Saccharomyces cerevisiae S288C: one gene and its partners. Changing the gene in region 3 together with the main gene of any one other region gives a genetic interaction. Each region holds a gene or a part of one and is shown on either strand. Other genes may lie near its edges.

What was found.
Region 1: mutations in SHM2 (region 3) and PET122 together harm fitness more than expected from each alone (negative genetic interaction), as found in Saccharomyces cerevisiae (2 studies listed by BioGRID).
Region 2: of SHM2 (region 3) and FAU1, a mutation in one rescues a mutant of the other (synthetic rescue), as found in Saccharomyces cerevisiae (one study listed by BioGRID).
Region 4: mutations in SHM2 (region 3) and MIS1 impair growth when combined (synthetic growth defect), as found in Saccharomyces cerevisiae (one study listed by BioGRID).

The regions. Positions count from the first base shown.
Region 1 is NC_001137.3:471,184-478,769, forward strand, and holds PET122 (Pet122p), read right to left. Parts: upstream 3,623-7,586; coding exon 2,858-3,622; downstream 1-2,857. Other genes in the region: mRNA-binding ubiquitin-specific protease UBP3, read right to left, coding at 1-1,241; YER152C (2-aminoadipate transaminase), read right to left, coding at 1,474-2,805; membrane insertase OXA1, read left to right, coding at 3,837-5,045; GTPase-activating protein BEM2, read right to left, coding at 5,162-7,586. UniProt on the Saccharomyces cerevisiae protein: Required for expression of the mitochondrial gene for cytochrome c oxidase subunit 3 (COX3). PET122 seems to work by directly interacting with the small ribosomal subunit to promote translation initiation on the COX3 mRNA.
Region 2 is NC_001137.3:550,800-558,510, forward strand, and holds FAU1 (5-formyltetrahydrofolate cyclo-ligase), read right to left. Parts: upstream 3,171-7,711; coding exon 2,535-3,170; downstream 1-2,534. Other genes in the region: SLO1 (Slo1p), read right to left, coding at 66-323; YER181C (uncharacterized protein), read right to left, coding at 674-997; FMP10 (Fmp10p), read left to right, coding at 1,726-2,460; TOG1 (Tog1p), read right to left, coding at 5,497-7,711. UniProt on the Saccharomyces cerevisiae protein: Only enzyme known to utilize 5-formyltetrahydrofolate (folinic acid) as substrate. Contributes to tetrahydrofolate metabolism in an alternative way of folate biosynthesis.
Region 3 is NC_001144.5:256,393-264,581, forward strand, and holds SHM2 (glycine hydroxymethyltransferase SHM2), read right to left. Parts: upstream 3,010-8,189; coding exon 1,600-3,009; downstream 1-1,599. Other genes in the region: putative mannosidase MNL2, read left to right, coding at 1-1,463; REX2 (Rex2p), read right to left, coding at 3,346-4,155; FRS1 (phenylalanine--tRNA ligase subunit beta), read left to right, coding at 4,587-6,374; 60S ribosomal protein eL22 RPL22A, read left to right, coding at 6,802-6,813, 7,203-7,556; BMT6 (25S rRNA (uracil2843-N3)-methyltransferase), read left to right, coding at 7,765-8,189. UniProt on the Saccharomyces cerevisiae protein: Interconversion of serine and glycine.
Region 4 is NC_001134.8:408,428-418,102, reverse strand, and holds MIS1 (trifunctional formate-tetrahydrofolate ligase/methenyltetrahydrofolate cyclohydrolase/methylenetetrahydrofolate dehydrogenase MIS1), read right to left. Parts: upstream 7,050-9,675; coding exon 4,122-7,049; downstream 1-4,121. Other genes in the region: ADP/ATP carrier protein AAC3, read right to left, coding at 1,197-2,120; 60S ribosomal protein eL19 RPL19A, read left to right, coding at 2,842-2,843, 3,350-3,917; TEC1 (Tec1p), read right to left, coding at 7,474-8,934. UniProt on the Saccharomyces cerevisiae protein: Mitochondrial isozyme of C-1-tetrahydrofolate synthase.

The DNA of each region.
Region 1 (7,586 bases), on a different chromosome or scaffold from region 3:
TATTTTTTATCCTTTTTCTGAGGCTGCTTGGACAACAGGGGAGAGCTGGATTTACCTATAGTCGCCGCAGCCATGTTTGTTGATGAAACGCCTGCGGTCGTACCAGAAATTGGTGTTTTAGTGACCATCGATCCGGAGACTGTTTTGTTACTAGCTTGTCTACTTTTAATCGCATCTGATGCTATGGCGGACCAGGATTTTGCTGCTGGAGGAGATGGTGAAGGTGAAGATGTCTTGGAAGTATTTTCTTCAACAGATTCCTCTGGTTCCTTCTTATCCACTACAGGTAAAACAGTAGCTTGAGGTTCCTGTATAACTTTTTCGTTACGGTCTTGCTTAGCATCCTCTTTCTTTACTTCAGTTTTCTTTTTAAGCTCGTGCGCATCTTTGCTCGCATGTGGTTTTTTATCATGAGCATCTTCTTCTTCCCCATGTGTTTCTGTCTTTACTTCCTCATTATGCTTTGGTATACTATGGCTTTTTGTGTGATGATGGGCAGAGCTCTTTTCTACAGATGAGTTCTCTAAGCTTTCAGAGTTTAGGTTCAAAGCCTTCATGTTTAATTCGTACCTTTGGACACTTGCCGCAGCAAATTCTGCTTCCGTAGTGTTTATGAACAGTGGCAATTGAATCAAGTTTGATGAATTTTCCTTGAGATTCTTTAATTTAGTGACATCAAACTTGTATAAATCATACTGTGAAGAAGAGTTGTAGGAAGAGTACGATGGTGAAGTAGCCGAAGAACCGTTGCCGTTGGAAGAGTTGGTCTGTTTTTTCATGCCCGCATTGCTGCCACTGTTTGGAGAGGCCATCATGGGGATATGATTGTTAGAGTAATTGTGATGGTAGGTGTGGGATTTGTTGTAGCTCATGCCGCTACCGCTAGAGTTGGCGCCTTGATTACCGCTGCTTCCATTGTTATTGGTAATGCCATTAGAGTGCCACTTCTTCTTGTTAATGTTGTTGTTATTGGTAGTGCTTCCGCCGTTAATATTGTTTTGCGGAGGCAAGTGATGTGGGCTGCCACTTTGATGGTAGATTGGCTGGTTTTGGTTGACCATATTAAACGAATAGGCAGGTATTTGTGTGGGGTATAGATATGGGGCCTGAGTGTAGCCGTACATCTGCAAAGGCGCTTGATAAATAGGAATCTGCATATTGGTTGGCGTAGGTGGTGGTGGAGAAGAGGTTTTCGGGTACATCGAGTACGACTCTTCTTTGTTAGCGTCTTGCATGTTCATTTTTTTTAATGATGATGGAAAGGAAAGCGGTACCTGGATGATGGTAGCAGACGAGTCTGACTTACTATTAAAATGACTTTCTTCTCTAGAAACACTTCTCTTCCCTTTCGCTTTTTCGCTGCTTGTTTGTTTTATCACATTATATTTTTTTCCTTCTTTTTCTTTTTCTTCCTTGCCTTTGCCCGTAGAAAAATTACCCTCTTATTACCGTTCACCTATATACGTATTCCTTCTACATAGTTATGTTATTGGTGATCGCATGAGATTTGCAAACAGCACCAAACAGCTCAATGCCCCTGTCGATATCATCAACTTCTAAGAAACTAATAGAAAGCCTAAAGCATGACTGACCCCAGTTTTTCTCATCGCCGATGACCTCGAAATTGGAGCCGTCGGCAAGGATGACATTAAATTTCTTGGCAAGAATAGTGGATATCTCCATGGCATTGTACGCTGGTGGGAGAGTGATCCAAGTAAAATAGCCGCCCTTCAATGGCATAATCTCGGTTCCTAGGGGCATGTATTTCTTAAGCGCCGAGGTCAAGACAGTGGCCCTCTCGGAGTATACGGATCTCAGATGTGCAATGCATCTCTGGGCGGCACCACTACGCAGCATCTCACCCACGATCATGGAGTTCAGTTGTGAGGGAGTTCCGCCAGAGACGTTTGCACCACCTTTAGATAGCTGTCTGGCGAGATTCGCGTTGATTGACTCATGGTATCCAAATCTGAGCCCAGGGGCGATCAGCTTGGAGAAAGTTGCGTTGGACACTGTATTCCCGAACGAGTCCTCACCGGAGGGCGCTGTACTTCTGTCTATGTGCACCATCCTTAGGGGCGGAGAGGGCAGCTCATCTGAGGGCGTCGTGTAATCTAGAATATCGTACACGTCATCAGTGATTATCAGCATGTCGTACTTCCGAGCGATGTCGATAAGTCTGCGTCTGGTCTCAAGCGAGTATGTGTTTCCCGATGGGTTTGCAAACGTCGGGATGCAGTACATAACGTACCTGTAGACCTTCTTGGTCAACTTTGGCCCCTGAATCATCTCTGTGGTACTATGGGGCTGCGGCTCCGCCTCGTGCTGCTCAAGGGCAGAAATCAACGACTCGAAATCAATCGAGTCGTGGCCCTGCTCGTTGATGGCGGTCATTTTCCCCTTGAATCCCGCATCTGTGAAGCAATTGTTGATCAAGAAATATGTTGGCGTGATGATGAACGCCTGCCTGGTATACCCGTTATGTGGCAAGGTTGTTTGCAGAAGGATGTTCAGCATGCCATACGAAGCGCCGCTATTCAGATTCAAATAGTCTGCCCGTGTCCTGCTCCGAGCCCCATTTTCGAACTTAAACAGCTGATCATTCAGAAACGTACAAATCTGCTCTCGCACCCACAGGGCACCTTCGTCCGAACCGTACGTCAGCGGATGCCTGTTATAGGGGTCGTTATCGTACTCCCTGGTCTCGGGCCCCAATATAGCCGCAGTCGCTTGAATTACTGCTTCTCGAGGCAGCAACCTCGAGCTCGGATGGCCCTTGAAGAAATTGATTTCCTTGTATTTCATTACCGCTTGCTAGCACGCGTTGTTCCTTGTTACAGCGATGCTCCACCCAGATTTATGTGTTGATTTCAAATCCTCTTCTCTTTATCACTAGTTCGGCATCCAGCAGCGGCAGCCCGCGATAACTTTGACGGAACTCCGCCAGCACACGTCGCGCCTGCGCTGGGCCGGGAACATGCCAAAGGACACCAGCCAGTAGTAGCGGTAGTGACCATTCGTTCTTTATCACTAGGGGCTGTCGTCCAAACAACGCCAGGGCAGCTGCTTGCTCATCTTGCTGCATCAATGCTATGCCCATAGCCTTGGTCATTTGCGGGAAGTCGCGCAGCCTTAATGGCGGCTGCCCTGGTAGCGTATCCATCTCCTGCAAGAATACCTTCCACTTTTCCCTGAGCGCCGTGGAGTGCATTGTGCCACGCGCAAACGCTTCGACTTTAATCCGTCTAAGCTCATACTCAATCAGTTCATCTTCTGGGCTGGTGCGACGATCGCGATTCATCGCCTGGTAGTGCTGGAGGAACTGCGCGGGTAAGAAGAGCCTGTCCTGGTACAATGCTACGCCAGCCATTTCACATAGCAGGCGGCCCTCTACTGGCAACCGGCGTGGCATCACATGCTGATACCACATGTATGCTATAGTGTCGGCATGGGCAAGCGCAGCGGCTCGCGCTAGCATCGTGTGCAGCAGCTCCACATCCACGCTGGTCTGCTGCTGCTGACGCAGCAGCGCCAGTGCATCGGACATTTTCCCGTTTAAACTGCTTAACAGTATTCGCGACCGCACATCGGTGGTCACCAGTCTTTTCGTGATAGTCAACATGACGTGTTCCGTTCTTATGTTCGAGCTAATGCCTCGTCTGCTCTTCCACGTTCAGATGTTCCCTTGATTGCTCAAAACACTCTCAGCAGGCCGAGATTTCGATTTTAGCCAGCAGTACGGAAGTAATCCGAGCCATGAAAAATTTAACCAGTGGCTCGCCCTCTATACGTATCTGTTCACGTACAAGCGGAGCCACAGAATAACCTCCCCGACGATGTTCAAACTCACCTCTCGACTCGTCACGTCAAGGTTTGCTGCCTCTTCCAGACTGGCCACCGCTCGAACCATAGTATTGCCCCGGCCCCATCCGTCATGGATCTCTTTTCAGGCCAAAAGATTTAATTCGACGGGCCCAAATGCCAACGATGTCTCGGAAATCCAAACCCAGTTGCCTTCCATCGATGAATTAACCTCTTCAGCTCCTTCTCTTTCCGCTTCTACTTCGGACCTTATCGCTAACACGACCCAAACAGTGGGCGAGTTGTCCTCCCATATAGGGTACTTAAATAGCATTGGCCTGGCCCAAACCTGGTACTGGCCCTCGGACATTATCCAACACGTCTTGGAGGCCGTTCATGTTTACTCTGGGTTGCCTTGGTGGGGAACTATCGCGGCCACCACCATCCTCATTCGATGCCTGATGTTTCCCCTCTATGTCAAGTCCTCTGATACTGTTGCTAGAAATTCCCATATCAAGCCCGAGCTGGACGCCTTGAATAATAAGCTAATGTCCACTACAGATTTGCAACAAGGTCAGCTAGTCGCCATGCAAAGGAAAAAACTGCTCTCCTCGCACGGCATTAAGAACAGATGGCTGGCCGCACCCATGCTACAAATTCCAATCGCCCTTGGGTTTTTCAACGCATTGAGACACATGGCTAACTACCCAGTAGATGGGTTCGCTAATCAAGGTGTCGCTTGGTTTACAGACTTGACTCAAGCAGACCCTTACTTAGGTTTGCAAGTAATCACTGCCGCTGTGTTCATCTCATTTACAAGGCTGGGGGGTGAGACTGGTGCTCAACAATTCAGTTCTCCCATGAAGCGTCTTTTCACTATTCTACCGATCATTTCTATACCGGCCACAATGAACTTATCGTCCGCTGTGGTCCTCTACTTTGCCTTTAATGGTGCCTTCTCCGTCCTACAGACAATGATTTTGAGAAACAAATGGGTTCGTTCGAAACTGAAGATAACAGAAGTAGCTAAACCAAGGACTCCTATCGCTGGCGCTTCCCCCACAGAGAACATGGGCATCTTCCAATCATTAAAACATAACATTCAAAAGGCAAGAGATCAGGCGGAAAGAAGGCAATTGATGCAAGATAATGAGAAGAAGTTACAAGAAAGCTTCAAGGAGAAGAGGCAGAATTCCAAAATCAAAATTGTTCACAAATCAAACTTCATTAATAACAAAAAATGAATAAAGGCTCTATATCTCTCTGTAAATATAAAAATATAAAACTCAAACCCTCGATAGGCGGGACCAAATTTTTTCTCTCTCAGCAGTGGATTGTATACATTTACCACGAAAATTGTTTATTGCTTGAAATAATCATTTGGATTCTTAATAAAATCTTGCAGGATTGTCTGAACTGCACCTAATCTGGACCCCATGCTGTTGGCTAAGTCTTCTTGGTTTATAAAACTCATGGAAAATACAATAGCCAAGTTTGATGCGTCCATTTTATTATTTACAACATGCTGATGTACTTTATTCAAATGAAATACAATTCTTTTCAAAGTTTGGTAATAGCATGTAGGTAACTTTTGGAGTAACTCATTCATCATTCTCTTGTATTCTTCATTTACCATTGCATGTGCTTTATACTTAATCGCCAAATCGGTAAAGTCGTTCACCATAGCATGAGAAAATAAAGAATCTGGTAACTCTCTTAAATACATCTTAAAACAGCCTGCGATCGCATTCACTTCAAACCATCTATCGTCCTCTAATGTAAAGGAATTATCTGTTGCACCTTCTTCGTCAAATGCGTTCTTTAGTGCATTTATACTGCCGATGGAACCAGGAATTCTGTACAATCCCACTTCATCTAGCCCACGCAGCTCAATCTCTTCCAGCAATTTCACAACAATTGTAGGTATCAAGGTATTCTCTCTTTCACAAACGTCTTCTAATGGTACCCCAAATATCTTATTATGAGTTTTACCTTTATATTTTTTCGAATGGAATGAAAATCTCTTGGAAGCCTTGATCATTTTTATCCATTCTGTGAGGTCACTAGAACTAGCCGTTTGAATCAGATATTCATGGCCATTTTGCATAACTATCTTGAACGCATAGTAGTAAGCCGGAATGTTTCTGTGATTGATTATTTCCATTATTGACTTGATTTCAAAGGTCTTCAAACTATAACTAGGTTTTAAGTCGTGTAGTTGCATGGAATCAACCTCTGGAAGTATACTTGGTAGAATGGATTTGTTACTTGAAACTTCTTGCGATAATATACTGTTGAGTGAATAATTAGAACTGGATGTGTTGAATCCACCGATTGAAAATGGTCTTCTGAAAAATCCACCTATTTTTTTACTAACACCATTATGGCTGGAATTTGACACTACTGATGATCTATTTGTGGAAAAGGAGGCCCTTGAATCTCTTCTATTCCTTGCTGAATTATTGCTTTCCATAACACTACCTAGAGAAGGCGTTTGACCGGTGTTCTTATTGATATTATAGCTATGATCGTTGTCACTATGAGTACCTGAGATAATAACAGACTTCCTATTCTTTTTCGGAACGGCCTGATGTAAAGCAGCAGAGTTCTTCAAGATCTTTTCTTGATCGAGTAAAACCTCTAATTTTCTGGCTTCCCTCTTTATTTTTTCAATTTCATTGACTAGTATTTCATTAAATACTCCCTGCTCTTGAAATCTCTCCGATATGGCTTCTGATTCTGATACTTTTTTAGTCTTCTTTCTGTATACTTTATTAACATCTTCAAAATTATTGAACAGAATGCGGCCAAATGTAGTTCTTTTCGAAGGATTTTCGTCACTCATTTCAATATCAAGTGGAAACTCCCTTTCGTTCGGAATTAAATCCAAGACATTAGATATTATGTTGTTAACAAATCTCCTTTTGTCAAAATTAATAAGTTTCGAATTAGTGATACTCATGTTAGGGACAAACTGAGATATTTCTAGTAACCTTGAAATGAACCAACCAGGGCAGGGGCATAAATTCTTGCAGTTTTTGCTGAATACATCATCAATCTCAATGAATCTCTTTATATGTATGTCATCTATCTTCTCTAAAACGTTACTAATCGATCTTAGATTTTGGGTTCCTTTAGTAGGGTCCGAAAGTTTTTCAGAAGCTTTGATCCACGAAAGTTCATAGTTTCTAGACTCTGGTGATATTATGGCATGCGCAATAGCAGTTTCAATAAAAGCTGGAATGTGTGGACAAATAGCATGAGGACTTTCATCCTCCTCTGAATCAAATAAATCCAAACTTCCGTTTTTCCAGCGGATGTAGTTCAAAATTTGTAATATAACTTTACAAGTAGTTAACCTTTCACTACTGCTTTTGTTGACGTTTGAAATTTCCATCACGAAAAACGTAGTTAGACTCGTGTGTAACTTTATTAACAATTTTATAGATTGTGGTAGTTTTTCAAAAAAAAGACTCTCCGTACCATTATCATCCTTAAGAATCAATGTAGAAATCCAAGTAAAAAGATTGGAAATTTCAAACTCGTGCAATTGCAAATATCCGGGGTTTATCAATTTGCTTGACTTAAAATGTAGCGGATAATTGAAAAAAGAGACCAGAGATTCCTTTGAAAGCAATTCCAACTCCTGGAAAAGAACTATCCAATCTTTCTTAGAAACTAAATTGAACTTCTTAGAAATAAAGTTATCTAACTGGTAGATCCATTCTAGTATATCTTCGTAATTGGTTGAGTGTAACTTTTGAAAAGATCTAATCATGTCATCG
Region 2 (7,711 bases), on a different chromosome or scaffold from region 3:
GCCATTTATGCGACGCATCCGTTTGACTGATCTACCTATTTAAAACAGAAACCTACGTTGAAAAGTTATTTTTCCAACACATTACTGGATCTCATCAAATTGCCAATGTAATCTTCTAGATAATCATTTTCTTGCTTTAGTTGCTCACACACCTCTTGCTGCTCTAAGGTTTTATTCCACAACAAGTCTAATGTATCCTTCAGAAGTTTGGTTTGGCGCATCATCCTCTCATTTTTTGTTCCAGCTTCTCTTTCGCCAAGATTAACTTCAGAGGATGGCTGCTTGCCCGTCGGCGAGCCAGTACTAATGTTCTCCGCTGACATTGTCCTATTTGTTTGTTTGCTATTATAATTTATCTAGTCAACAACTTCGCAGATCTACAAACTGGTCCTTAAGATGTTTTATTGAAGACATCATTTTTTATTTTTTTAAGCAGAACGTGCTGTGCTCTCCCTTTTGGGCCTTTTTACGATTTTCAAAAAAATTGGTCTCTAGCGGGATCGAACCGCTGATCCCCGCGTTATTAGCACGGTGCCTTAACCAACTGGGCCAAGAGACCTGTAATCTGTGTTAAACCTGCATAAATTATGAAATCATAGCAACGTTTCAAATACTTCAGATGCCCCCATCCCTTCGTGTAGATGATGAAATGAAACTCTAGAATATCATCCATTTAGTAGCATTCTTGCTGCTGGTATAGTATCATATGAGATCTAGGAAGATGAAATGAAGCTTGAGAAAGAGTTAGCAAGTTTAATGGAAGCTGAAATGCAAGAATTGATAATGTAATGGGAAAATGAAGCATATAAAACGATAGGAAAAATAATCGTAATATTATTGTATGCAAATACCGATTAAATTTGAGGATCCCTATACCCTTGAGGAGAAGTTCTAGTATGTTCTGTATACATAGTATTGAAGCCTCTATCAACAATGGAATCCCGATAATTATCACAAAATTCACACAAACCTCAGATAAACGTAACAGTATTAGCATACATAATTATACCCAGGCTTCTCCCACAGTGCGCATGATTCGCTACGAAATCATCAATTTCACATAATATTGAGATTGCATTTGTTTTTGTTTCTTGCGTTGTCACTTTTAATTCTGCTGTATTATCAACTCCTGCACTTAGCTTCTGCAAGATAAAATGACGACTTGAGCATCATTCTCAGATTCAGTTGAAAGTTGCTGACGATTTTCAGGGGTCCCATTTCTAGTAAAACGACATTAGACATATACTAGAAGTTCTCCTCAAAAGATACAGGAATCAATAAAAGAGAATCGGCAATTCTAAATAGCATATTATTATTACTTCTTTTGCTTTGTAAGTTGTAATTTACAATCCTATTACATTATCGTTTCTTGATTTCAACTTCCATTAGATTTGATTATGACTGCCATCATTTTGGGTCACCGTACGTGAACATTGGTTTGCAACAGGAATAAAAGTCTTGAGATGTTGTACTCTGAGCAAATAAACAAAAGGAATTCTTTCTAATATTTCACAAAACTGATTTCCAAAAATGTCTCTAAGTACTCCATTAGCGACACATTTTACATTTCATTTATTTAACATAATACCTTATTTAAAGATTGATTAATTTTCGATGAGGCATACCCCTTGGCAGAAAAGGAACAAACTCACAAAGTGCACAAAGAGTTTATAAAGAAACTAAGAAAAGTAAGGAAGAGAAAGAGACCGTACCAGCAAGGCCAAGATGTTTAAAAGAATCGCAATAGCCCAGATAAGAACGTATACAAATGGCGTTGTTTTCAAGACAGCCTCTAAACCCAAAAGAAGATGGATTCCATGGACAATTTTTGGGGGAAGTTTTCTTGGAGGGTGGTACTTGACACAGCATATGACGTTCACGGACTTACTAGCTTATTGGAGATATGATGCCCTACCCAAGAACGCAGATGAAGTCGTCAAATATCACGCTGATCTGAATAGACGTTTAAATGGCCTACCCATAGTAAAACAGTTGGAGAATGCTGGTTTTGTACAAGTGATTGCTAATGAAGAGGAGAACTTGTTAGTGTCAAGGGCATTAAATACACCAGGTGGCGTCGCTATACCACCAAGAGTTTACTACAACCCCAGTAGGCGTGAAACTGTCGGGCTATACCATTTAGGAATGAAACTTACTGGTTATCCTTTCTTAATTCACGGAGGCATTTTAGCAACAGTTATTGAAGATTTAATGAAGGAGGCCATTAGACTCGAAAAAGGAACAAAAAATATAAACCAAGAAACCAAGAATTTGAGTATCTCGTACAAGTTCCCCACGTTAGCTAATCAATTTGTTGTAGTAAGAACCACCGATCTTCAGCAATACGGTAACAAAACTAAATTAAAGGCTGAACTTATGGACCAAAGTGGCAACAGGACATTGGTCAAAGCTAATGCCACGTTTTCTAGCGAACAAGGGAATCCAAAAGAAGAAAAATAGATTTGCCGTCTACTTATTTATTTATTTATTTATTTATACAATAGCTGTACCATGTAAATAATACATATATGAAATTATTGAAACCAATGTATGGATCCATCTCCGCATACTATACAATCCATGGAATAATCATGTTTTTCTAAAGGAATTGGAGAGGCCACCTGTTCCATAAGACATAGTCCAACTAGGAGGGGCTTTTGGCCTTCATGCAGTATCTTATACCGTTGGAAAAAATCGTCATAATACCCAGCACCGTGACCCATCCTTGCACCAGTTTTAATATCAAACGCCACTCCAGGCACCAATACGACATCTAGAATATCTGATTCCTCAATATGCGGTTCAGGCTCTTTTAGTTGATATGGACCTTGAGGCTTCAAATCACGAACCATTTTCAAACTACTCATTCGATGGAATATTAAATGTGGATGATGATCTTCCCGTAATTTGAAGTGTTTCGATTCAGAAGTATGAGTACATCTTGGCAGAAAGACCTCCTGGCCATCTTGAAATAAATTCTTAATGATTTCTCCAGTCGTTACTTCTCCTTTATCCATGCTCATATAACACGCTACACGCCTAGAATTGGCGGAAGCGATCAATGAGCGTACTGCTTGAGAAATAGTATGCGACTCTGCAGCGATAATATCGTAGTCAAGAGCATTTATTACCCTTTTGATTTGACGTCTCAGTAATTGCTTAGTGGCCATTAATTTTTTGTAGCTATATAAAGATAGCGTAGCTGACAGTAATTTTTATTTTTGCCATTTCAATGATTAAATATTATTCGGAAGAAATCTGAGAAAATTATATATATCCTTCAAGAGAATGAAGCTGCTAACTGATTAATAAAAACAGCTTTAATCACAAATCTCTCACGACATGAAATAAAACACCCTTGCAAACAGATGTGGAAGACTGATTGCCACAAAGCTTCGGGCTCGCAAGCAGAATGGTTTTCAGGAAGTGACTTACTAAGCTCGAATATTGTCCTAGATAGCAAACAGGCCTTTGATGGAATCAGTTTGTCTCCTGAAGGTTTTTTTGAAATAAAATGATAAATGAGAATAGCAGACCAGTTCTACGGGTAGGATTGAGATATAAAACGAGAAAGGCACTCTCTCACTGAAAAGTAATGAAAAATTATCAGAACTCCAATCTGCTGTCTTTACATCCTCGAGAATATCGCTAAGCTATCGATACTACGAATGATCCAGATACGACAGTCTTCGCTGGCGATCTTTTTGGACTAAATTTGCTCACTGATACACTAAAAAGCCTACGCAACTACACAAAGGTAAGAAACCACAATCGCTACCCATTAATCCTTATTGGCATTGTAGCCCCATATAATAGAAGTGAAAGAGTAACATTGCGCCATTTTTCGCTACTAAATAACCTCAAGAAATGTGTCCAGCTTATGGTTCCCATAGAGCGAGAATATATGACTTAAAGCATATCCCTGAGTGGGTTGCACTGGTACACACTCTGTGATGGTGGAGCACATTAATTAAAACTCAAAAAAATTATCACGATATGGACAAAAATCTAAATGGGCAAGTATCTCTCACAAAAAGACCTCACGTATTTTATGAAATTACAAATTGACGTATTTCAACCTTGTTTACTCTAAAGTTCCCCCATATAGCATAGGGGTGCTTTGGGTTTATTTAATCGTCAAATATAGTCCGATTTGTCTCATTATTCTTGTGTCGGAAAAAAATTTATTGAAGCGACTACTACCTAGATATTCTGCAATTTTTCCTATAATATAATATGCCTCACCCCAATCAGTCCCTCTTTATGACAAGAAATAAGACTACAGTGTTACATCAGATACTCCACATTCCCCCTATCGAAACCCAACAAGAGCGCTATCTCTTATACAACATTTCACAAAAAACATGTGATATGCTTTCAATTGATCCTATCAATATCAAAATTATCATTCTCACTGCATTATCCTTCATTTTCGTTAGTGCGCATCCTCCATTTTGGGACGTGTCTACCAAATAAAGAATGATGCGAGATACAAAGTAGGTGATAACATCAGAACCCGGTGTTAGAATGCAAGGTATAATCAGCAAAAAAAAAAAAAATGTGTAAAAAAAAAAGGTCGGTTACCAGCTTTACTAAATGTTTTCTATTGAATAAAATCATAGAATTCCATAAGTGACTGTGACATTTTCCACCCAGTTGATACAGTTCAATGAATTCTCACTGCAGCTATATTTTGGATGCTTCTCCACTTTGTAATATACATTGTGATGTTTCTTTGATGAAAGATATAAAATATTAAAAAAAGTTGATTCTTACATCTCATCTTTGTCATAAAAATCCTCTGGAATGGCACCTTAGAATTTCTAGGCACAGGAAACTATTCGATTTTTCTAATATATGAATCTAAGTCAAATTCAATATCTATGTTATTTCAGAAAGTGGAGTAGGTGTGCTTTTAAGAGAACGGATTTATGACGGAAAACTAGGTTAAATAGACGAAGAAAAGCTGAAGTAATTATCGTTTTGCTGAAACTTTCAGGATAATCCCTATCATAATATATTCCTATCAAGCGATGAGCAACGGAAAGCTGTGAATTGTGAATGTAACAACAAGACTATGTGAAGCAATTTTTAAGAGTTATTTCATTTAGCAATCTTTTGAGACCCGAAATACTCAAAGAACGATAAAATCGTGGGACGAATAATTAGACTAGCAACAATAAAAGGAGTAAATACAACTAGATTTGTGAGTGTGTGTAATTGCGTGTAGCTTGAAAGACTTACCACAGTGGTATCAACACCATACTCGAATCGTTCTAGATCTTGCATAAAAAAAGGACATTTACTTTTACTTACTAGTTATGAGCCACCTTTGATTTCATGGTACAGCCCATAACCTTCCTGAAAGCGGTGCATAACGTAAGGGACTAGATTAGAATCACAAAACCTTTTATTGCATTCTACAGTATTCGTCTAAATCAAGGGATTTTATTTCCTAATTGAAAGTGATCAATTGTTTAGGTGCATACTTGGTTTTTACTCTCCGAGGTTTTCTTTAGTAATACCAAATTCAGTGTCCTCCCAAAATAGATTGAGAAGGTCTGGTAGAGATTCTGCAGTCACAAAATTTTCGAGGCTACAAAAGTCCATGCCAACTGAAACACTGGTGCTGCTGGGTGACAACTTCTCATAACAAGCACCTTCTTGATTTTTTCCCTGTACGCCAATAACTCTATTATTCACCAAATCACCCATTTCCCTATCAAGAATGCTGAGAATTTCTTTACGGAAGCTTGATTCTTTGTGTTCGCCTATAATATTCCTGTACCAGATACATTCAATGTCCAACGCAGCTTGACCAGCATCTGAGCAAGCCTGGCCATATTTTTTCAATTCACAAAACAGCGATTCCTTAGCCATTTTCTGTGAACGTGTGTACATCTGACAGCAGATGCGTGTTAGGATGAAAGAAACCGCTGTTCCATTTTCCAACTTTTTAGAGAAGGCGTTGTTGCCCTTGAAATTAACATTGCCAGAGCTCACAAATAAGTCATTATATGAGGCTATCATGCGGCACATCAAGGATAAATAACATATCGAGTTCCTTCTAGGGGTCTCGATAAAATTCAAGGTAATATTCATCAAGATGGCATATATGAACCACGAACAACGGAAAATATAGAACGTATCTTCGTGCTTGAGAACATCCGTCAAAATATCTACAGATGCTTCAAAGGTTTGAAGCCTGATGTCCTTTACGCAGGAATCAAGTTCAATTCTCTCTCTTTCTTGTAGAAGATTTTGTATCCTTAAAATTAAACTCTCCATTCCCTGAAAACAACAAACCTTTGCAAATCCGAAATGGGTGTATAGTTCAAATACATTACTATTTTCAGAATATTGTTTGAGGAAAGGGATTAGTTTGTCTTGTATGCACTGAAAAATTTTACATATTTTTGAAAACTCTACCATAAGCTGTCGTGCGGTTCCATTTAGGTCTTTAGCGTTAGGAGTTGCAAATAATCTGTAGTCTGTAAAGTGTCGATTATAAAGCAAACCAGAGAATACCGCTGTAATAATTTTCGTTAATAGAATATAGCCGAAAGAGATACAAATATCAAACTTACTTGGGTCGAGCTCCACCAAGTTTATTAAAGTAAAACAGTCCATCGAATCATCTACCCCTAATCCAACCACATCCTTGGGAAAGAGACACGAAGTCATTTCATGTGGTATCAATGGCTGCTTACCGGTGACCAATGAATACCATCTATCCCACCAGTAGCAGTCCCACCATAACTTACGATATTCTTCGGCAGTGTCCTCATCCTGACCAATATAATATTCCCAACGATTCAAACCAGCATCCAAACTTCGCCTGGACATCGTGGAAATAATTCTTCCCAGCACAAAAGGATCGTCTATCCAATATCTGTGTTTCATCAACGAGACTAAGCCCTTTAAAATAGTCAAGTCGTACATTGTCGAAAATAGGGATCTTTCAAAATATTCAAGACAGAGACAAAAAATCAACTCATCTTGCTCAAGAAAATATTTCAAAGGAAGTAATTTTTTGGAACTTTTACGATCCAACGCCTTGTGGTGCTGTTCCATCAATTGTACTCCGTACATAAACCAGTCTGTTGGTTTATTGAATTTGATTGTTTGGTTAATGTTTGTATTTCCTTTGATTTCATTCGATATATTTGACATAATGTGTTGAATAAGTACGTCGTTCCCACATGAAAGTCCGTTTAGCTTTGAATAATACTCTAAAGGAGATATCGAAGTTACTTTAGGACCAGCATGGCTAGCAGAGCTAGCGTCAAGAAACTTCAAAAATAAATAGATAGTTTCTCTCGTCTCCCTATCATTCGAACATGAAATCAATTTTTTAGTTATCCAGCTAATACCCGTAGAGGCAAAATATAGCAACGGTGAATAGACCCCAAAGTACATACTGACATTTTGTGCAGTATTGCTTTCAAAAGCGTTGGAGAACCTATTCAAAGATTTTGACTGTTTCCCGATAATTTCTGTTTCTATCGATTTCAGGCCACCATACGAGCTAATTTCCTTACTGTCCAGATTGAGGTAAAGCTGAGGTTGTATTTTTTCAAGCTCAGTGCAAATGTTTGCTAGGCCTTTCTGTAAAGAGGCCGGTGCGCTTGGAGGTAACTGTGCCTTCAATTTTGCTATGCTGCACTTAGCATTATCCAAATCATTACTGAGACTACCAGTATAATTGAAA
Region 3 (8,189 bases):
AAGAGGAAATTGAGAATGGTGCACACCTAAAGGGATCCAGCATCATGAAAAGTATCAATGAAAATTTCAAGTTCGTACACTGTCAGCAGTTAGGGAAATTCTTAAATCCTCCAATAGATGATAATAGCCTCCAAGAACAATCTCAATACCAGGCTTATAGAATTAATGAAAAAACAGTACCCATTCTAGAAAATCTATTCAAAATCAATGACCTCTTCCAATCTTCTTATGATATCCTGGACGGCTCAAGTAAAAATGCTAATGCTGCAACGATGGACCCCAGTATTGGTTCAGAGGTAGAAGCAGTCGACGAAATAATTGAGAAAAGAAACTTTAAAGACGGTACTAAAAAAGATTCGACAAAAAACACCGTAGGTGATAAATCATTAATAGACTCGCAAACGTTTTTAACAAATTCCATCAGTAACATTTTTAAATTCATGACTTTTCGACCCATGTTGCCCAAGCAAACGGAAAACAAAAAGTTTAATTTTCTGAATTCCATTCTAACAAAATCTCAATTCATGCCCACGACTAATGAGCTAGATGTCACGATAAGAAAATCTTACGATGTCTCGTTATACTCATGCAGACTTGGCGGCATTCTAGGTTTAAGTTCACGTGTTCCCCACCGAGGCGGTGTCAACACGAAATATATTTTACCATCGTCACTATTGGAAATGAGCGAAATAATAACAGAAAGTTGTTTTATGCTAATGGAGGAGTTCGACGGGCTGCTCCCTCAAAAATTCGAGTTGGACCCTTGCACTGATGAGACTAATGGGAATTGCGAGTTTAACGGCGAAACTAAATCACGAATGATTGCCAACGGCGAATATGAAACTTTTGAAAATGACCTAGATGTCGGGATCAAAGTTTCGAATTATGGGAAAGGTGGGAATGACCAGAAAGCTAAGAGAAATGTACTAAGCAAAGATGGGATAACAGAGACTCAAAACATAAAAGGTGATACTGTTGGAAGCTCGAAATCGATTGCTGAAATAGACGGCGACGAAGTAACGCAAATACGTAGAGTTTTTACGCTTGGTAAGGATATCAAACCGCATATTACAACGGACGATACCATGGGTTCTCAGTGGAAAAACCATCCAGACTGGCCATTTTGGGTCAACAAGGTAGAATCCAGAAGATTGTTGGATTCGAATATCATTGAATCTATATTTTATATGTACAGAATCAGTGGAGAACAAAAATGGAGAAGCATGGGTAAGCAGTCTTTTGGAATCTTAATGCAAGAATTAATGGAACTAAACAGTGGTGCCAAAGGATTGTGGCAAATAAAGGAATTTTATGAAAACGGTGAAAAAGTGAACAATGATTTACCTAGCTATTGGTTCTCCAGAACATTAAAATACTATTTGCTACTATTCAGCGATGGTGACAAGGTTTCCCTGGACAAACACATCTTAACTCAAGGAGGGCACATAATCAAAAAGAAATGAAGTTAACGTTAGAAAAATCGTACGCACATACATACATACATATAGGTACATATATACATAATGAGAAGAGGAGAAAATGAATACTTATACAGTAATGTTTATTTTTTTGGGATTAAGTGTCGTTGTGGTGATTTCTTTACACAGCCAATGGGTATTCGCCAGCCCAGTCGTAAATTTCCTTTTTCCAGGTGTTCAAAACATCAGAGCCTTCGTCGACCTTGGCTTTGAAGTCCTTTAATCTACAAGCATCCTTTGGCAAGCTTTGTTGAACTTGTTGAGCGAATTCTACAGCCTTGTTAATGTATTGAACAATTCTGTGGAAATCTTCTTCACCCATTCCTCTAGTGGTCATGGCTGGAGCCCCAATACGGACACCACCTGGAACCAAAGCAGATTTGTCACCTGGAATAGAGTTTTTGTTCAAAGCAATGTTAATCTTTTCACAAATGTATTCAACACGAGCACCATCAACACCCTTTTCTCTCAAGGATACTAGAACCATGTGAGAATCGGTACCGTTGGAAACTAATCTGTAGCCCAAGTTCTTAAATTCACTTTCCAAAGCCTTAGCATTCTTCAAGACTTGAGTTTGGTATTCCTTGAATTCTGGAGTGGCAGCTTGCTTCAAAGCAGTGGCCAAAGCAGCAATGGTATGGTTGTGTGGACCACCTTGGTGACCTGGGAAAACAGAGAAGTTAATTGGGTTTTCCAAGTCGTATAGAACTTCCTTACCGGTCTTAGGGTTGATAGATCTCACACCTCTTCTGAAGAAAATCATAGCACCACGTGGACCTCTCAAAGACTTGTGAGTGGTGGTGGTAACGATATCAGCGTATTCGAAAGGAGATGGGATGACACCTGCGGCGATCAAACCAGAAATGTGGGCCATGTCTACCATCAAGTAAGCACCACATTTGTCGGCGATTTCTCTCATTCTCTTGTAGTCAATTAAACGACAGTATGCTGAAGTACCAGCAACAAGAACCTTTGGTCTATATAGGATGGCGTTCTTTTCTAAAGTATCGTAGTCGATAATACCGGTTTCTGGGTTAACTCTGTATGGGAAAGATTCGAAGTATGTGGAAACAGCAGAAATTTTTCTGTTTTCAGTAGCGTAACCGTGAGACAAATGACCACCATCTGGTAGGTATAGACCCATCAATCTTTCATGAGGCTTCATAATAGCTTGATAAACCTGCAAGTTAGCAGGAGAACCAGATAAAGTTTGGACGTTAACACCCCATTTGTCTGGAGTAACATGGAAAGCTTTCAAAGCTCTTTGTTGACATAGAATTTCCATTCTGTCAATGTGTTCATTACCACCGTAGTAACGAGCACCTGGATAACCTTCAGAGTATTTGTTGGACAATGGAGTTCCAAGGGCATCGAAAACGGAGGTTGAGGTGAAATTTTCAGAAGCAATCAAATCGATGGAGTGCTTTTGTCTTTCAATTTCATCCTTGATAATGGAGTCCACTTCAGGGTCGGTGTCCACCAAATGAGAGGTGATCAACTTATGATGAGCGTCGGATAGAGTGTAAGGCATGTTAAGGAGGATTCGGTTTAAGCTGTTATGCTTTGCTATGGGGTAGTATCTTTCGTAAAGGTTACACTAGAAGAAGGAAAGATTACTGAACGCAAACTAAGGGAAGCAAGTTCTGCATTATATATAAAACAAGATGAAGAAGACTCATGGTTCGGTCTAAGATGATTATGAATTTAAAAATTATACAGAGTAAAAAGCGAACATGAGAAACCCAAGAGATAGAGTCAAACCTTTATGGTCAAAGCAACCTGAAAGGGTCATTTCTCACCAGGAGTCATGTTTCGTGTGTGAAATATTTGAAAAATTTCACTTCTTTTTTCTTTTTTTTTTTCTACATTAAAAATCGGTGCGTTGTCTTTTCAAAGATGAGGTAGATGAAGATGGTGACTCCGGCTGTTCAGATCCGATTGACTCGACCGACTCTGTTTCCTGTGGTGGCTTCAAGTAGTTGTCCATGTACCATTGCAATTGAGCTATGCTCTCTTTGATATCACTATAAGCAGTGTGGGCAGCTTCTTTTTTTGGATTACGTGCTTGTAAAGCGGGATTGTGTCTGCGGGCAACTTCCATGATGCTACTGACGTCAACTATTCTGTAAAAGAGATGATCAATGACCTTGGGAAACTCGCGGACCATGAACAAGCGGTCCATATGTACACTATTGCCTGCCAAGACGCCAACGTTCTTGTCTGGGATGTAGCGCTGGATGTACTCGAGCAGCTCATCTTCTACCTGGGCCAAAGTCTTCTCACTTGCCAAAACTTTGGCGGTGAGACCGCTATTACCGTGGTGCTCAATACACCACTCGTTCATTTTGTTCATCACCTCGGGACCATAATGGATGACGCTCTCATAATGCGAGTCTCCTTGGCCATCGGCCGCTTTGACGGGTGCCAGGTGTCCATCGGTGATGATGCAGCAAATCTCGATAATTCTGTCATTCACGTGGTCTAAACCGGTCATCTCGCAGTCGATCCAGACCAAGGGTTTGAACAGCTTGGTTTTAAGTTCGGGTGTTTGCGCCATTGATTGCAGGTTTTGGATGGTTCGAGGACGTAAGTACTGTGAAACGGATCTTCTGTACAGCGAGAAGAGGTTTGGGCGAGTGCGAGCTACGATTCTTGCCGGAAACAACAACCACTTCATCTTGATCTCTTCTGTTTATTTGTGAAAGCTCCTTTTCTTTTTTTTCATTTTCTTTGCAAATCGAAAAGTTCACACTGATTTTTTATTAGTTCTTTTAAGTGCCCAACTTGACAGGAAAAAGAAACACCCCAAAGGGAATACCAGTGTATGTAAGGCTTGAATTATACGTATGAGCATGCGTTTGATGGTTGTCGTCAGAGCCAGTGCTCTGAGAGTGTCCCAGATGACTACAACCCTTGTATAAAAGTACATCTTCTTGATTATTTATCACGACACACGAGGTGACCGATTATTCAGAATCGGTACCAAAAAAGAAAGAAAATTGAAGGAAATGAAAAATTTTCAATGTATTTCTCGAAAGCCTGGAGTTGATCAAATGTTCAAAAAATAGGGCAGAATAGCATAACACACATCAATAACACCGAGCCAGCATGCCTACCGTCTCCGTGAACAAGCAGCAATTATTTGATCTTCTAGGCAAAAACTACACTTCCCAAGAGTTCGATGAATTATGTTTTGAATTCGGTATGGAAATGGACGAAGACACCACAGAGGAGGCCTTGAAAACCGGGGAGGAGCCGGAATTGAAGCTTGATATCAGTGCCAATCGTTACGATTTGCTTTGTATCGAAGGTATTTCACAGTCGCTGAACGAATACTTGGAACGTAAAGAAAGACCTGACTATAAATTAAGCAAGCCAACCACTAAGTTGATCATCGACAAATCAACGGAGCAAATTAGACCTTTTGCTACCGCTGCTGTATTGAGAAATATCAAGCTTAACGAAAAATCTTACGCTTCTTTTATTGCCTTGCAAGATAAATTACATGCCAATCTATGTAGAAACAGAAGCTTGGTTGCCATGGGTACTCACGATTTAGATTCAATTGAAGGTCCATTCCATTACAGAGCTCTACCACCAAAGGACATCAAGTTCGTACCATTGAATCAAACCCAAGAGTTTACTGGTGACAAATTGATCGAGTTTTATAAATCTCCAGAACAGAAAAACAACATAGGGAGATACGTTCACATTATTGAGGATTCTCCAGTCTTCCCAGTTATTATGGACAGCAAAGATCGTGTTTGCTCCCTGCCACCATTAATCAATAGTGAACATTCGAAGATCTCTGTGAACACCCGTAACATTTTGATTGATATAACCGCCACCGATAAGACCAAAGCCGAGATCGTTTTGAACATATTAACTACAATGTTCTCACGTTATTGTGACGAACCATTCACGGTTGAGCCTGTAGAAATTGTCTCTGAACACAATGGCCAATCCCGTTTGGCGCCAAACTTCAACGATAGAATTATGGATGTCTCCATTAAGTACATCAACTCCTGTCTTGGCCTAGATCAATCCGCTGATGAAATTGCTCATTGTCTAAAGAAGATGTCGTTGCATGCCGTTCAATCAAAGGAAGACAAGGACATCTTGCACGTTGACATTCCGGTAACTAGACCTGATATTTTGCACGCTTGTGATATAATGGAAGATGCCGCTGTCGGTTATGGTTTCAATAATTTGCCAAAGGGTGAGAAATTATCCAATGCCAACTTCATTGCCAAACCATTACCAATCAACAAGGTTTCTGATATTTTCAGAGTTGCATCCTCTCAAGCCACGTGGGTTGAGGTTTTACCATTGACCTTATGTTCGCACGATGAAAACTTTAAATTTCTAAGACAATCCGACAATGGTGATTTAGCTGTCAAATTGGCCAACCCAAAGACTTTGGAATACCAAGTTGTTAGAACCACTTTATTGCCTGGTATCTTAAAGACAGTCAAGGAAAACAGAAAACATTCCTTGCCAATCAAAGTCTTTGAAACCGGTGACGTTGTATTTAAAGACGACAAACTAGAAAGGAAGGCGTACAATGAACGTCACTGGGCTGCCATCTACGTGGGTAAGAATTCTGGGTTTGAAATCATTCAAGGGTTATTGGGTAAAATCATGCAAACTTTTAGAACAGAGTGGATTGCAGACTACGGTGCTGCTGCTTCTGGCAGAGGTTACTGGATTGAAGAAGACGATTCTGTGAAAACCTACTTCCCAGGTAGAGGTGCCAAGGTCATGTTCAGATCCAAAGAAGGCGCTGAGCCAAAGCAAATCGGCCACTTGGGTGTCTTGCATCCTGAAGTCATGATGAATTTCGACGTTCCATTCGCTGCATCCTTTGTAGAGGTTAATGCCGAAGTCTTCCTATAATGTAATGTTCTAACAAAAATTTTTACTGATTTATAAAACTTATATAGATAGATAGACACATATATATATCTATATATAGAAACACAACTAAAGTTTACCATGTTTTATATAATATTACTACCGCTACTGAGTAAATGTTTAGCTTGTACTTAACTTTCAAAGACAGTTTTTTTGATAAACATCAGTACATTTAATAATACATCCATACATTTATGTTAATTTGTTTTTCCTTTCCACCTCAGTGCGCTTCTCTTTTGAAAAAATCCTCAACAGGCCACGCGAACAAATCTTACCGAGAATTTCCTAAAATGTTTCAAACTATCATTTAGCTGCATACAATATGTACATTATTAATTGAGATTAACAACTTTACCTGTACTTTACCGTTATCAAATTATAAACCACCAAAACAACAGATTAAGAAACAATGGCCCCAAACGTATGATACTTTAAAAGGAATCCACGCCCGATTACGAAGTCTATGTTTTACTGTTATTGTAATGATTGATTGTACGCGAATAACAAGGAAGATAGTAAAACCAAAAAAAAAAAAATAAAAATGTACGAAACGAAGAAGCGTCTATGTGTTTAGTTGCTTTTCTGTATTTTAAAAATTCACTACTTGAACATTGAACTCTATATCGACTCCCTTCTTTTTATCCGTTTCTGAATGTTTTTTTGTTTGAGATTGTCATATGTGATTGTTAATAGCAGTAGGCAACTTTGTGGTTTCGGGATTGAAAGAAAATCGTGAAATATTCGTTTTTTACTAACATTACTGTTCTGAAAATTTTTACTAATTTTCAATCTTTAATTTTTTTGATATAGACTTCCAGAAAGCAAAAGATTGCCAAGACCTTTACCGTCGATGTCTCTTCTCCAACTGAAAACGGTGTCTTCGACCCAGCTTCCTACGCTAAGTACTTGATCGACCACATCAAGGTCGAAGGTGCTGTCGGTAACTTGGGTAACGCTGTCACTGTCACTGAAGATGGTACCGTTGTTACTGTTGTTTCCACTGCCAAGTTCTCTGGTAAGTACTTGAAGTACTTGACAAAGAAGTACTTGAAGAAGAACCAATTGAGAGACTGGATCAGATTTGTCTCTACCAAGACCAACGAATACAGATTGGCCTTCTACCAAGTCACTCCAGAAGAAGACGAAGAAGAAGACGAAGAATAAATTCATTAATATTATTTTAAATAGAGCATAAGTTTTGTATAATTAAAATCTTCTAAACCTAATAAATATGTTTAATGAATGATTCAATATCAAAAAAAGAAATCCATTGGGCCCTTAGTGCATTTTTATTTTTTTTTTTTTTTTTTTTTTTTTTCTCTTTCTGAATTAGAGTACATCTCATCGCAGGGTCTCTTTTTGCACGTTTTTGATGTTGCTTATGAGACGCTTTGCCTTTTTAACTTCTTCAGTATATTTTAAATATATACCAATTTATTCACAATATCATTACTCTTCTCAGTTTCCAATTAACATGAATCCTAAAAAAGTGGCCCAATTGCCCGTTCACAATAAATCAACGCTTCCACCACAGGAAATAATCGATCTTTTTAAAATAACATTCTTAGAAGAGCTATATCCAAAAGATCAAGACAATGAAAAGTCACCGTTAACTGAACAAATACAGGCGGTAAAATCTGACCTTTATAACAGAGATTACAATGCTGCTTTCAATAACGACTCGAAAAGAATAGCATATTGTTGTCGTTGGTCACCGTCCAGAGCAACAAGTTACGCATCAGTATTTGCACATTTCCCTGAGCTTCTAAAGATTATCAGATGCGAAATTGATGACAA
Region 4 (9,675 bases), on a different chromosome or scaffold from region 3:
TCTTGTCAGTTTTGAATTTCTCAGTTGAAAAATATCCCCAAAAAAGACCTGAAATTTACTCAACCAATTGCGAAAAATTGATCATCTTTTTCATACTATGTCTTTCATTTCCAACGTCCACAAGTACTGTAGAAATGTCTAGCGAAAATTATGAGAAAATAATGGTGTAATCGTTATAAAGTTTGCTAAATTTTTGTCTTGCTTTTGAGAGGGCATATGTTTGCGCAATCCCAAAAAATATTTCAAAAATATTAAATTTCTTTGAATACTTCATTCTCAGTAAGAATTATTCTTTTTTAACAGGAACTGAACTTTTATCCCGTTGAGAGGACGATGAGAATGTTGGAAATAGTCATAAGAAGGTCCTAAGTTTGTATTCTTCTGAAATCTTTCTCCCTTTTTGCTATGAAATTTATTTGAGAATTGTCAAAAAAATAAAAATAAAATGTTAAAATTAAAAACCAAAATGTAATAATACTGACAATAATTGATTCTTATCTAAGTTCTCGAAAACCCTAACAAATATTATAAAATGGATCAGGATGCTTATCTTGAAGCATCACTCTCCAAATAGTGAAGGTTGAGTCTTAGAACCGTTATGTTTACCATTGATCATTGGCAAACTTTGGCAACAAATTTCTCAATGGAATGTAGAACAAAAACGCGGAAGCTCTTATAAGGTCTACACCCCGAAAGGAAAATTATGCTCATCTTGATAAAGCTTTGAGAAATTATCCTGGATAGTTCCGTTGAGCTCAAAACTATGGTTCTGATTTCTAAAAATTCATTGGCGCTTCCGTAATTAACGCTAATAATTGGATCGTTAATTAAATGGTAAATACGAAAAATGGGTATAAAATTGATAGCCAAGGTACTTAAAAGGGGGGGAATGCACTTAACAAAGAACCTTCATCATTGTGGAAAACTTGGAGACAATGTCCAAATTGTGTGAAAATTGCTATCCAACCATCTGAAAGCCGAAAGTTAAAGGTCTCAAGTTCACTTCCCCAAAAAGCAATCGAACAACAGTGGCTGATTTACAAATTTATTCAGTTATACTCTATAATAAAAAATAAAAGAAAGCGATACATAACCTTCCTACTATTTTTTTTCTATAAACAAGTTGGCGGCCAAAATCAAATCGATCGAAAGGTGAAGAGAAGTCGAGAAAATGACTTTTTTCTTCATCCAACTGATCATTTGAATTTTTTACCGAACAATATCATTTGCAACTGGTCATACATGGAAATAACACCAGCTCCAGCAACACTTCTCAAGATATTTGCCCCGCAGCCTTTGAACAATGACCCTACACCTTCAGAAGCTACGATTTTTTTGAGACAATCTATAGCACCGTTGTACTTTACTGCTTGACCTGAAGTCATCATCATTCTTCTTCTCACTGTGTCTAATGGATAAGAACATGTTGAGGCACCTGTAGTGACCACCCATCCCAATAAAAATGAAGCCAAGAATGAACCATCTAATGAACCAGTTAGCACCAGTGGCTTGAGAGAATCAAACATACCGAAATATAGTCCTCTATAAACCACGATACCCACTACTGATGGCATGAATCCTCTGTATAATCCTGCGATACCATCCGATTTCAAGGTCTTTTTATAAACATCAGTCAACCCATTGAATTGGCGAGCGCCACCCTTTTTCGACGATTTTGCATCAGCAGCAAGTCTGGTTCTGGCAAAATCTAAAGAATAAACAAATAATAACGAAAGAGCACCAGCTGCACCACCAGAAGCCAGATTACCTGCAAACCATTTACCATAGCCTTCCTCTTTCTTGAAACCAAACATCAACTTAATCTTATCTTTGAAGGCGAAGTTCAAAGCTTGAGTGGGAAAATAACGAATAACATTGGCAGTATTTCCTCGCCAAAAGGATATTAGTCCCTCTTGCTTTGCAGTTCTCTTGAAACAATCCACGATACCGGAATACTTTTTATCTAAAGTTCCTTGCTTGATCATTTCATCTTGATTTTGGATCAAGATCTTGACTCTTTCGATTGGTGAGGCAGCAGTTTTAGCGATGGCCGCACTCACACCACCCATTAAGAAATTAATGGCAAAGTTTGTTTCTTGTTGCTTAGCGTCGCTACTCATTGTTTCTCAAGGCACAGTATATCACTTCAGGTAAACCGTCTTCAATTGAGTTAATTATACTCACACCACTTCTTTAGTCTTTCTATCTGAAATCATTCAAGCGCACTTTAGATTCACTTCAACGCCTAATGAAAAGGACAATGGAAAACCCTTCTCGAGAAATCTTATATGTAATTTGAAGGCAACCAAACAATGAAAAAGAAAAAAAAAAAAAAAAAGGAAAAACTTTATTTCAAAATTCGTCAACCCACTAAGGTTTATTACAAGTTCGTCTCATTTCCTTTTTTACACCCATGCATTTTGTCATCCAGACATTACGCATTTTCCGTGAAGATTTTTTTTCTTCGTTTCGTTTAATATCCGTTCTCGGTGAGGAGGCCATTGGAAGCATGTCTTCCGCTTAGCACCAGACTGAGAGAGAGTGCGATGCTTAGCATAATTTTGGTTGCCTCTTCGAATTGCTCCTGACAGTGTACTATACGCTGGCCGGGGCCGTGGCAATCCCTGGGTAGCAGCTGGCATGGACTCCTTTCACGAATCCTGCCAGACTAGGGCGGTCTCAGTTGGAAGCCGTCTTCCTTGCAAACTACGATAGGCATCGACCTAACTTCTCTGAGGGGGAAACAAAAATATAGGTTTGGACAGTGATCAACAGAGAATACAAGGTAACTATTGATTTTACGCTTCACATAGAAAGTTGATTAAGAACTCCAAAGCAAAAATGTATGTGATGCAGTGAATAATGAATCTATGAAAGTTTATCAGGAATAAGATAGAATTGTTATAATAACTCCCTCTTGAGGAATGCGAGTTTGATGAGTTATCACCTGAAACACCAGCGTTATTGAAAAGTGATATGGGTAATATATGCCAAGAACGATACTGTGTTCCATTTGCATCATGAATATGCTAGTGAAGCCAGATGTTTCTATAATCGGAGTTTTAGCACTAAAAGGCAAAAGAGGAAACTTGTGGAAGAATTTTTTTTCTGTGCAGTTTACCATTAAGATATTTATAGCGATAAGTGAGACCATTAATATGAGTATTCAATACGAGAACCAGTTACGTGATAAAAGTTACTCGAGCTGCTGCAGTATCCAGCATACATAATAACCATGTCATTTTTCTATAGCGAGTTTTAAAGTGTCTACCACCGCAATTTCTATCTTTCGACGCGAATAGACTTTTTCCTTCTTACAGAACGATAATAACTAACATGACTTTAACAGGGCTAATTTACGTACTCAAAAGAGACTTGCCGCTTCTGTCGTCGGTGTCGGTAAGAGAAAGGTTTGGTTAGATCCAAATGAAACCTCTGAAATTGCTCAAGCCAACTCCAGAAACGCCATTAGAAAATTGGTTAAGAACGGTACCATCGTAAAGAAGGCCGTTACCGTCCACTCTAAATCCAGAACCAGAGCCCATGCTCAATCTAAGAGAGAAGGTCGTCACAGTGGTTACGGTAAGAGAAAGGGTACCAGAGAAGCCCGTTTACCATCCCAAGTTGTCTGGATCAGAAGATTACGTGTCTTGAGAAGATTATTGGCTAAGTACCGTGATGCTGGTAAGATTGACAAGCACTTGTACCATGTTTTGTACAAGGAATCTAAGGGTAACGCTTTCAAACACAAGAGAGCCTTGGTTGAACACATCATCCAAGCTAAGGCTGATGCTCAACGTGAAAAGGCTTTGAACGAAGAAGCTGAAGCTAGAAGATTGAAGAACAGAGCTGCTCGTGACAGAAGAGCTCAAAGAGTTGCTGAAAAGAGAGATGCTTTATTGAAGGAAGACGCTTAAATTTTCTTTAATTAATTTATCTTAATATACATACTCAGTTAATAAACAGGTAGCAAAAACTTCGATAATACGTATGTATGCACATATACCTACATAACTAAAACCCATTTTTCTAATATTCTCATCTCAATTGTTTATATAAAGGGTACTCGTGCAGACGGACATCGAGGTCGAATTGATGCCATTAGGAGTCTGCCAAACTATTTAAAATAGACCTTCAATTTCACCGTCGTCGTCGACTTCTACTGCCATGTAACCAGCATATGTCGATAGACCCGGTATGGTTTGAATTTCTGCAGCCAAAGCGTATAAATAACCTGCACCTATTGAAGCTCTCACATCCCTGATGGGGAACGTAAAACCTCTAGGAACACCCTTTAATGATGGATCATGGGATAATGAATATTGTGTCTTAGCAATACAGATGGGAAGATTACCGAAGCCTTGTTTTTTGTAGGTGTCTATCTTTTTTTGGGCTTCTGGTGATACTTCGATTTTTGCCCCACCATACATTTTTTGGACGATGCTGGTAAGCTTGTCCTCGATGGAGCTATTGACGTCGTACAAAAAGTTAAAGTTCTTTGGTTCTTTCGTTGCATCTACCACAGCATGTGCTAATTCTACTGCACCTTTACCACCTTCCATCCAGTGATTAGAAGTAACGGCATGAGATGCGCCAGCATTCAAGGCTGCTTTCTTGATTACCTCAATCTCTGCCTGTGAGTCTGTTTCAAATCTGTTGATTGCTACAACGACTGGTATTCCAAACGTTTTGATGTTTTCAATCTGCTTAACCAAATTACTAACACCCTTGGCAACAAAATCGATGTTTTCCTCTGTGTATTCTTTTGGTAATGATTGTCCGGGCTTAACATTTGGAGCACCTCCATGAGATTTCAAAGCTCTTACGGTTGCGACTAAGACAACTGCATCTGGCACCAATCCAGAGGAACGACATTTGATATCAAAGAATCTTTCACCACCCATGGCAAAATCGAATCCTGCTTCAGTAACTACATAACCAGGTTCATGGATGTTCTTGTCATTTAACGGGTTCTTTTCTGAACCAACAAGCTTCAATGCCATTAAGTCTGCAATTACTGATGATGCGCCGATGGAGATGTTGGCGAAAGGACCAGCGTGAACCATTACGGGGGTCCCTTCCAAAGTTTGCATTAAGTTAGGCTTTATAGCGTCACGTAATAATGCAGTCAGAGCACCGGTACAGCCAATATCTTCTACTGTTACTGGTTTGTTATCATAATCAGCACCAATAACCATGCGTCCAATACGTTCCTTCATCTCGTGTAAGCTTTTAGATAGAGCTAAAATGGCCATTAATTCAGAGGCAACAGTGATATCGAATCCAGTGGTCCTTGTAAAACCCTTCTCCGTAGCGGCTTCGCCAATGGTAATTTGTCTTAACATCCTGTCATTGATGTCGACAACTCTTCTGATAGTGATAGTATCGGGATTTATGTTCAATCTAGCAAATCTTTTGACTTCTTCAGGTGTTAAAGCATCAGGGTCTTCTTTTTCAATATCCAATCTTTTAAGCCTTCTCTGCATGGATGGGGTAAACTTTCTGATGCCTTTTTTTCTTGGAACTAGTCTCTTGTAAAATGTACTATCATTCTTCTGAGTGGCTTCATGGAACATTCTAGTGTCGATAGCTGCTGCAAGAAGATTGTTCGCAGCGCTGATAGCATGAATATCCCCGGTCAAATGTAAATTGAACTCGTCCATAGGAATAACTTGGGCATAACCACCACCAGCAGCACCACCTTTGACACCCAGGGTTGGGCCAAGAGATGGTTGTCTAACGTTCGCGATGGATGGTTTCCCTAAATGAGCGGATAAAGCCTGCACCAACCCCATAGTCGTAGTGGATTTACCTTCACCCAATGGAGTCGGAGTAATACCTGCAACAAGGACGTACTTACCGTTTTCTCTAGATTCTAATCTTTTAAAAATATTTGGAGAAATTTTTGCCTTATAGTGGCCGTATAATTCTAATTCGTGAGAGTGGATTCCCAACTCCTCGGCAACTTGCTTGATATGCTTAGGACTCTGAGCTCTTGATATATCAATATCTGAAGGCACTGGACTTTCTAAGTGTAATGGAAGAGGTTTGATAACTGGAAGCTTTTCAGATTCCACGAATTGCCTTTTAGCAGCTAATAGTACATTGGAAACAAGCATAGCGACAGTCATTGGACCCACTCCACCAGGAACAGGGGTAATATAAGATGTCTTTTCCTTTACAGAATCAAAATCAACATCACCAACTAATTTTTGCCCACTTTTCTTACTGATATCAGGTACGTAGTTGATACCTACATCAATAACCACGGCGCCTTCTTTAATCCAGTCTGATTTAACGTATTGAGGAATACCGCAAGCTGCGATAACTATATCAGCTTGGGAGACCACTTCTGCAATGTTCCTTGTATGACTATGACAGACAGTAACAGTGGCATTCGCATTTTTCAACAACGAAGCAATTGGATTTCCGACGATACTTGATCTGCCTAACACGACGGCGTTCTTACCATCTAACTTAACATGAGCTTCTTCAAGTAATTTCATGCAACCATAAGGAGTACATGGTATGAAGTATGGTTTCCCTCCTTTTTTAGCCAATTCACCAGCATTATATCTGTGGAACCCATCAACGTCCTTTTTAAAGTCCACAGCGTTTGTAATCGTGGTTTCATCCAAGTGACGCGGTAGAGGTAGTTGAATTAGCAACCCATGGATAGAGTCATCATCATTGATGTCACTAATTTTCTTCAAAAGCTCAACTTCAGTGATTTCTGCTGGTAACTTCTCTATGATACAGTCTACATTGCTGTCCTTTGAAGCTTTCAATTTCATCCTCACGTACGTAGATGAGTCTGGTCTGGCCCCGACTTGAATGATTTTCAAGGTAGGCTTGAAATTAGGATGCTTAAGCTTAATGGCTTGTATCTCATCATTGGCTTTTTCTCGAATAGATTGAGCAAGTTTCCTACCAGAAAGAATATGGTATTGAGAAGCATGCACAGTTGGCGAAACTTTTAAGCGGTAAATGCGCCATCTGGCCTGTTGGAACGCCCTCGAGTTACTCAATAAAGATAGTCTCGACAACATTTCCTTTTAGCCTTAAATATCTGACAAATGAACAGACTGAGAGAATCACAGTAATGAAAGTTGTTTTTTGATGTGTATTGGCTGGTTTACTTCTGCAATTCTTGAGGCATCGAGAACCGCTGCAACATTATTTCGGAGGAAAAAGAAAAAAAATCGCTGTCCGTTGAAGTGAAAAAAATTTCAGCATGGCGCTAGAGAACTTTCTTACTCGTTCTGGCGCGTCAGTAAAAAAGAACTCGGGAAACAATAAGAACCATACATGTGCGATAGAAGAGTGTTGCAGGAGTAGCTTTGGTTTTGTTCGAGAACTGGTAATGTTTGACTAATACATAATTGTACCGTGCTCAATCATATCTGTGACGGTTCTTACTACGAAGATACGTATGCGTATTTATGTACGAGATGTATGTATGTATGTAGACATTTAATAAAAGTTCCCATGCGATTGGTTGGATGGCGTAAAGTTCCTTTGATGTGGAGAATGTTCGTAATGCTGGGGTGATGATAATAACAGCTGCGAAAAATAAGATGTTTGGTACTGGGGCAGACCTTGAATATAATTGGCATTGTAAGCATCTTCAGCAGGTCTTGGATACATGGGCCTTCCTCGTACTTTGGAGAGTGAGTAGGGCATTCCATTATTCTTGTAGTATGGCACTGGTCTGCTTTGGAGTTGTGTGACTGTGGCTGATCTTGGGACTACTTCTTCCTCCGATTCGTACTCTGAACCGGAATTGGAATTGGAACTGAACTCAGGATTACTTTCATGTTCTTGTATGCGGGAAATTCTTTGGTATTTGTTGATTATCTTTCTCTGCTCTATTTCGATTTTTTTTGCACTCTCCAGGATTGCCTTCTTGTTGGAAAAGCTAGCCTTATTGGGGCGATCTCCCTGGTGGAGTTCCGTGGGGGAAAGTTGTTCAAGAGGCCTCTTTGACGGAACGCACTTGTAGCCGTCTATGTTTTCATAAATGTGCTTAGCGTAAATGAGGGGGGTTTTGGCTTGAGATGCAGCATTAGTTTTTATGAAATTTTCAATTTTTTTCTCGTTGGAAGCAGTGATTGGCGTAAGCAGTTTTGAATGTACTGACAATCCACTGCTATTATTACTTACATAGAGGTTTTTAGGGGTTAAACTTCCAGAATCACTGACTGAAGGTAGAGAGTCGATAATTTCTTCAAATATGTCATAAAACAGGTTTGAGTTTTCAGTAGTTTGTTCAGCGCCATGTTCGATAAGGTGTAGAAGCTCCTTCTCCTTTGATGATAGGGTCAGCGAGTCCTTGATTTTGTTTTGTATGGTCTTCTTCCAGACTTGAATATGGGAAGAAATTTGCTTTTTGGTTCTGAACTCGTTGGTTTTGTGCTTGATATATAATGAAATCAGCTCGTTTCTTCCAAAATTGGCATTTCTTATTTTTATTTTTGTGGTCCCATTTTTCATTATCAGTCTAAGTGCCTCAAGGAATGCCTCTTCTACCTTTTCTGACCACTTATCACAACCGATAGTCCAAGATTCCGTTGTTGACGACGTTTCGCTACTTTGTCCGGGAAAGTAGTTGCTCACAGATATATTTGGTACTTCATTCTTCCTCTGCTTGTCAGTGAACGTAGCCTTTGCTGATGGAGATTTCAAATCGTCCGATTTAGCACCCAGTCCAGTATTTACCAGTTCGAATTGAGGATGCGTGTCTATGAGATTGATGTTATCCTCCGCTTCATTTTTCACACAAGCGGCGGTTGAAACTACGGCTTCTGGAAACATATCATCCAAGGCCGACTGTGAATACGAATCTTTTTGTATATATACGTCAAAAATTCTACCAGTATATGATTCTATATTTCTAGAATTATCCTTGCCAAAGTCGTCTTCTTTAAGACTCATGGTTAAACAGGTATCAGAATTGTTGAAATAGGTGGATTATTCTTCTTGTCGATATGGGAGGAATCTGGCACCAGTCGAAGAATCTCCTGTTTCATAAACATTTATAAAAGTAAGAAAAGGGTTGTCATATGTAAAAAATTAAGCAAGCCTTTTGTTTCAAACTTAATATATACCTCTGCGGGGGAATTACTTTTTTGGTAATAAGCTATTTTCTCCAGCTATGGGCCGTACCATCGAGAGAAACTCCAGCACCATGGATTGCTGATGGTAGCTACAGGTGCTTTTTAACTGTGCATGAGCCAAGAGCCTTGTGAGGGACCATTCGTGGAGTCCAGCTCAGCTTGTTTCCGGAGAGTTTCCCAGAATAATAAGCAAACGCAATCTGAAACACGCACATTCCCGAATTCAATGGGAAATTCTTTGAGTCGTACGCGGAATGCGAGCGGTGCCGGGGAATTCCAATGAGGCTGATTAAACCGGACTACGGGCAAAATGGCTCATCTGAAACACCTTGCGCCGATAAAAGACCCTCACCTGTGTCACTAAATGGAAAGAGTTGGCGTAAAATCTTCCTGTAAAAGGATCTCACCATTTTGGCCTAAAACATCATCATATCTGTTTTCGTGGAAAAAAAAGGCCGCTCATACATGAATACAGTGGGCACATGCCACCTGTTATTCCATAGCTGGCTTTACTGTAATATTAGAATAGTTCCTATCTGTGTGAAAAGTTTCTTTCGTT